Callithrix jacchus: one gene and its partner. The protein of the gene in region 2 purifies or fractionates together with the protein of the main gene of each other region. This does not show direct contact. Links are inferred from orthologs where the notes say so. Each region holds a gene or a part of one and is shown on either strand. Other genes may lie near its edges.

Region 1 (3,169 bases), on a different chromosome or scaffold from region 2:
AAGTAGAATGGAATGCAGCTAAGTGTTTCTCAAAAAGGTGGGAATTTGAACTGGCCTTGGATGGAGTACAAGAAGCACAAAACTCCCTCTGGTTCTTTTTTGGGGAACCAGGATAAAAAAAAAAGCCTCTCCCACAAGTCTGTAGCTAGGTCAGCTAAGGAGAGGAAAGCAGCATTTTGAGATAACCCAATGTGAAATATTAGCAAGTTTAAGGCAGGGATTCTTTCATTTCTACCTCTGCCTAGTGACTACGACCATACTTGGGCCTTGCTTTCTGAATGACAGGTCCAGAAGACAACTACATTTTTCCCTTTGAAAAACAGGTCGTCTCTGAGTGAAGAGCAGCATGATCCATAGATATTGCTCATACTTAAAGAGGCTGTCCTTTACAAATCTTTGGATATTCACTGAGTCCATAATAGTTGAAGGCAAAAACCAATTTCAGAAACCCTAAACATTCTCAGCAAATAAGATCCAATACAGCTGAATATCTTACCTTGAGAACAAAGGCTGAAGTGATGAATCAAAAAGGAGAGCTCAGACAATTTTAGAACAAAACAGGTATATTTCTATTAGACTACCTGATACAGAAGATAGTGTGGTATGGATGGATAGTATGAATGACAAATAATACAAATATATTTTATTTGAAATAAAAATGCATACACAGCTCAATGGGTCACTGGGAAACAAACTGTTGCTTGACTATATTACTGAGCAAAAACAAAACTGAAGCACAAACACCTTTCTTTTTTGACATGTATCTGGAGATAGGTAGGAAGACACTACTTGATTTTTTAAAAAACTGACCTTCCCTTAAGGCCTGGTCATTGAAGTGTAAACAATGTAAATGAATCCACCATTACCAGTTGTCATATCATATCTATGTCACCTGTGTATTCTGAGATTACACACATACCTGCCAATATACCTGGGAGAGGTTATTTTATCACAGTTACACTTGAGTTCTTGGCAGGCAGGACAGAGGAAGAGTAATTTGAAATAAGTTTTACATCCTATTTAGAAGAAATCACTAGTATTTCCTTAAATAACAGGTTACAATAGAAAGATACTGCCTGGAAGTTATCCTTTTCACTTTGGTTCATTTTTAGTTTTTGTTTGTGATTTACATAGCTGTTTAATTCATTTGCTTATAGTACAATCCTGCCATAAAGTATTAAAGCACAAGATACCTATTATTCCTTCAACATCTGCATTTTTCAAGTTTTATACTCTATATCCACAGTACGTCAGCAGTTCTTGAATGTTTAAAAAAAATAAATGGGTAAAACCCTTCTAAAAATGCAGATATCTATAACTACAATGGTACTAAAATGGGAAGGAGACAATAAGAGAAGGGATAAAAGCAAACACGTTCATGTGCAGGGAATGTGGTTCAAGTCTTTGGATTTAAAAACAAGTTCCCCAGAGAAGCTGGCACTTCCTTTACCCTCCAAAAAGGACTTGAAAAGTCCCAATCCAAACTTTGGAAAATTACAGTTATGAGATGCAATAAATGATGATCGAAGCAGGCAGAGGGAGAAGGATGAATGTGTCTTCCATTTAGCTATAGATGTAGCATAGCCTTTTTAGGTGTTGGTGGATCAGTAAAAACCACTGAAGTACCAGAAGTGCTTGGAGCTTGGAAGGACGGGGTAGAAAGTAATGACCATAATACCTTGTCTACATCAGTAACAGGGTCATGGCTAGGAAACCTTTTTAAACAGTAAAATGTCTCTAGGATACATCTTTCTCTCTCCAACATTAAATGTGGCAGAATTAACAACAACAACAAAAAAACATTTACATGTAGATATAGCAATAACAGAAGATTACAAGGCAGAGAACACAAAAGAATCAAGACAATGCTATTGGTTCAACAGTATTCCTTGAGGCTAGAAAACTGGTTAACTTTGAAAGCCCTAGCAAAATATCACTCTTGTTTATAAATCACTTATTTATTATATGACCACACGTTGAATCCTTGTCTTTCTGCATACTGGAGAATTCTACATTCAGCCTTTAAGCATTCTGCATTTCTTTGCCAATCTTGTAGCTGAGTATCTTGTTCCAGTCGATTTTGGTGCGGGTAACGGGAAGCTGCCGGCGCAAGGCCTTGAATGTGGTATCTGACATTGTTTGATAGTTTTCACTAATTGCTGTCTGCAATAGATAATTGAAGATGAGTTGCTTGAACAGAAATGAGGCTGATTGTGAACAGGAAAGTAACGCTACAGTCAAAGGATATGCTTGAGTCCCCTATGAAGGATAGACAGGATATATTATTTTCAGTGAGCTCCTCTCCAACCTCTAAAGTAGGTCGAGAAGCTCACCTATATTATTTCTAAAACTAGAGCTACAGTCCCAAGCAATCCTGAAACCCTGATTGTAAGCAGAATGCCAAATTGGAAGGTCTGCAAAGTCTCCACATTTAGTAAAACTGAAGAGCATGTATATTTACATTAAAGGACACAGGGAGGCCTAACTATGTTAACAGCAAAATAGTAAGATAGTAGATCTAGAAAAATAAGCTCCAAATCTTCTTACCTGATACTCATTTTCTGCATTCTCTATGATTTTAATAAACTCCTTGGCAGTTTGGGCTTCATTCTAATGGAGGAAGGAAAAGCGGAAAAATCAGATGTTTTAAAATGTGTAAGCAGTAAGATCCTGAAAAGTAACTCCATCTTAACTAACATTTGTATAACAATTTCTAGTTTCCCGAGTGTTTCCATGCCCACTATCTCCTTTGATTCTCACGACTCCATGGAAGAGACTATGTTATAATCATAACCCCCATTTTGCAGATTAGAAAACAGAACCCTCTGTTTTCTTGACCCAAATTACAGTTTTTGAATGATAAAGATGGATTCTGAAATTAGGTCTTCACCAAAAAAACCATGCTCGTACCACAGAGTACACCCAAAAGACATCATCAAGTCTTGAAAACTTGACGCCCTGAAAATATTTCTGGTTAAAATGATGTGAACAATGCCCTCAGACACATCAGTTATACCATAAGCTCACATATCCTTTATTTGCCACTTAAGATGTTAAACTAGCCAATCACATTTTGTACTATGTGGCTCAAATATAAAATGAAATGAATCTCTCTCTTTCTGTTACCATTAAGTACAACAGATTTTTTTTAAGTTTTTTTAATAAGACG
Region 2 (3,651 bases):
GGGTTCGGTGGTCTCGGCCAGAGCTAGGGTCACAGCCTCCTCCTCAACAGACAGGGCCTGCCCAGGCTCAGGGGCATCAGCAAAGAGAACACAGGGCTGGTCAGGTGGTGCTGGCTGCTCCTGCCCCAGGACTGGCTCCAGGACGGGCAGGGCTGCCTCCCTGGTAGCCAGAGGGAGAGGGAACTCCTGTCCAGCCAGGGGCTCCTGCAACTCACACCCCTCCTCTGCCTGCTGCAAAGGTAATCCAGGCATGCCCTCAACTGCAGGTAGGGGCTCAAGGGGAACAGCTGGGAACTGAGGTTGACTCTCCCCATCCCCCTTTTGGGTAAGGGACATGCTTGGATCATCCCCCTGCACCCAGGAACTAGGCCTTTCTGATCCACTTGGCGTTGACCAGGCCCCTTGCCCCTGCTTAAACACTCCTTCTTCTCTGCCGGACACGGCCAAGTTGCCAGCCTCAGCAGCCTCGGCGGCCTCACTGGCTTCAGTGATGGGAGAGGGAGGCGGGGAGTCCAGCCGCCACACTCCCAGACCCGAGGGCCGCGTGGGGAAGGTCCACTCGAAGGACTGTGATAAACTCCAGTTGGACTCTGCTCCAAAGGGATGATCCAAGGCCAACTGGCTTCCCTGGCCTTGGGGCAGGGCAGCCAGCGAGCCCCCCAGCTTCTCCTGGTCCTGGTTGGGTGACTGGAGCACACCTTCGGAGAATCGGCGCTGAACCAGGCTGGTGGGGCGGAGGAGTGCGTCACCCTTGGCCGCCTCCTCCCCACTAGATGGAAGCGTCCGAGTGAGATCCAGCAACTCACCCACCTCGATCAGGGGCTGGGACGAGGTGGCAGGGGGCTGTTCCAGACTGTGGGGCTCCAAGACCTCATGGGGAGGGCTGCTGGGTCTGGGGGCCTCTGGGGCCCCTTCAGCTGGGAGCTCTGGGCTGGGGGTGTGGTGGGAGCCTTTGTCAGGTAGGACTGCACTTGGAGCTGATGGAGTCCCAGCAGGGCAGGGAGAAGCCTGGGAAGCTTCAGGACTCTGGGCTTCCAGAAGCTGTGAGTGGCAGGGAGAACTCTTATTGAGTGAGTGAAGATGGGGAGAGCCAGGGCCTGGGCCTGAGGCTTCCAGCGGGCAGCCTGGGCTGGCAGAGCCTCCATTCTCAGAGGAGGGAGGTGGACTGGAGGCAATCCAGGGCTTGGAAATCTGCAAAAGAAAGATCAAGTGCCATTACTCACCTCTCAGCGGGGTGGGGAGGGTCCCCTCCAATCCCACACAGACCCCAGGTCAGCTTCTCACAGGCTGGGAGGAGGAAACTGGAACCCCAGGAAGTCTCTCGGGGCTGCTGGGAGAGGCCCCACAGAGGACTTGAGGCAGGGCTTCTCACAGAGCCCCCCTTAGACCTGCTCCCCAGAATGCACCTCGCCTTATTCACTAAGCATAATTCCTGACATTTCAGGTGGTTTGAACCCCTCACCAGCTCAACCCAAAGCTCATCTGAGGATCTCCTCAGAGGCCCCAGTTTGGGGTCCAGAATATTTGCTTTATAAAGGGAAAAGGAAAATTGGGAATCTGACTCTCCAGGCATCTCAGCAGGTGGAATTCGGGAGGGGAGAGAGGGTTTTTGCCTCAGAGCAGAACTCGAGGTGCAGTGCAGCCACAGAGCTGCTCACAGGAGGGGCTAGGGCATGCAGGGGCACTCCTCGTGCCACTCCAGAGGTGCCAAGGAGGCAGGAAGGCCGTGAGACCCAAGCAAAAGGCACTGGGGGACCTGACAGCACCTGGCCCGAGCAGTCACAGTGCTAGTTTGTTTTTGTTTTCGTTTTTTTGAGAGGGAGTTTCACTCTTGCTGCCCAGGCTGCAGTGCAATGGCATGATCTCAGCTCACTGCAACCTCCACCTCCCAGGTCCAAGAAGTTCTCCTGCCTCAGCCTCCCAAGTAGCTGGAATTACAGGCATGGGCTACCATGCCAGGCTAACTTTTCATATTTTTAGTAGAGACAGAGTTTCTCCATGTTGGTCAGGTTGGTCTCGAATTCCCGACCTCAGGTGATCCACCCGCCTCGGCCTCCCAAAGTGCTGGGATTACAGGTGTGAGCCACCGTGCCAGGCCAGTACTGCCTCTTAAAAGATGTGCCCTCCCTCAAGTATGGTGGACTCTTGGTCTCTCTGAGCCTCGGTTTCCCCATCTGTAAATTAGGGCTGATGGCAACCATGCCCAACTCCCAGTGAGGTGAGGGGTAGGAAAATGTGTGCACTGGTCCTCAGCATAGGATTTGTGGGATGATGGGGGCAGAGAATGGGGGCGTAGAGAGAAGAAGGGGGCAAACGAGGCACCAAGCACCTGGCACTCCACCTGTCCCCCGACAATGAAGCGAGTCTGGCTCCACCTGACCTTTGCCCTCTGCAGAGGTCAAGCTTCCCTGGCCACCCTCTCCCATGCAGCTGCTTCTCCCACTAGGTAGGGCAAAATAACGGGTCCTGCTTGCTGCTCAAGGTCCCTTCTGTTCCCTCCATGCTCAATCCCCTCTACAGCATTCTAATTTCAAAGCCTGTGCCCTTGAACTACAGCACCCATAATTCCTTCTTGTTATCGATCCTACACACCCATCATTCCTTGAAAACCATAACCGATGGATCACTGCAACCCTCTCCAGCATTGCTGTGACAGCTTACAGTGACCTCCATAGCCGGATGCGACCCTTCCAGCCTCTGGTTCATTGCCTTCCTCTTTCCCAGAGACTGCGTGACCCATCTTTTCAAGGTCATACTGTAGACCTCATCCTTACCAGTGGCTGCACCCCCTGCATCATCTCAATCCCAAATACCCCGCTCACCCACCCCCACTGCCTATCTGTCCAGCTCACTCTATTTCCCCAATGCCCTCATTTTGATCCCTCTGGTAGCACAGTCCCTTAACACTAATTCTTTCTCATTGTCCCCACGCTCCCCTCATACCCTCACCTCTATTCTTATCGTCATTAAAGTCACTTATTTTTTTTTGAGACAGAGTCTCACTCTGTCACCCAGGCTGGAGTGCAGTGGCATGATCTCGGCTCACTGCAACCTCCGCCTCTTGGGTTCAAGCAGTTCTCCTGCCTCAGCCTCCTGAGTATCTGGGACAACAGGTGCACACCACCACACCTGACTAATTTTTGTATTTTTAGTAGAGACAGGGTTTCACCATGTAGTCAGGCTGGTCTCGAACTCCTGACCTCGTGACCCACCTGCCTCAGCCTCCCAAAGTGCTGGGATTACAGGCGTGAGCCACCGCGCCTAGCTAAAGTCACTTTTTACCCAACGCTCCACTCCCCCATCTGCTTCATCACACTGTCTAACCTGTTTTAAACACAGCTCTCCAAGACATCTGGGCCAGTCCTAGCCCCACACCTGAGCAGCTACATGTGGCTGGAGAAAAACACACAACCATGAAGGCTGGTCTCCCTTCAGATTCAACACTGACCTCGAGCCGGCCCTAGAGCTGCCCAGAATCCCCGGGCACCCCCCCTCCTATTCACTGCAGGACTCTCCCAGGCAACGGTTTAGCATCTTCTCCCATCAAACCTCCGGCACCTCCCCCAATCCTCTCTCAGCTGATGGCCTTGCTTCCTGTTCTCTGGGAACACAGAGGCCATCAGCAGAGAACCCTTTCCCACCCAACAACCC

The links. Proteins that work in one complex are often made in the same cells at the same time.
Region 1: the proteins of TNKS1BP1 (region 2) and CAPZA1 purify together in Homo sapiens (affinity purification with mass spectrometry; 3 studies listed by BioGRID and IntAct, with this or other methods). This does not show direct contact. The link is inferred for Callithrix jacchus from reciprocal best matches to the Homo sapiens genes TNKS1BP1 and CAPZA1.

What each region holds. Positions count from the first base shown.
Region 1 is NC_133508.1:150,629,896-150,633,064, reverse strand, and holds the end of CAPZA1 (F-actin-capping protein subunit alpha-1), read right to left. Parts: intron 2,611-3,169; coding exon 2,548-2,610; intron 2,164-2,547; coding exon 2,023-2,163; 3' UTR 546-2,022; downstream 1-545. UniProt on the Homo sapiens protein: F-actin-capping proteins bind in a Ca(2+)-independent manner to the fast growing ends of actin filaments (barbed end) thereby blocking the exchange of subunits at these ends.
Region 2 is NC_133511.1:114,883,478-114,887,128, forward strand, and holds part of TNKS1BP1 (182 kDa tankyrase-1-binding protein), read right to left. Parts: intron 1,192-3,651; coding exon 1-1,191.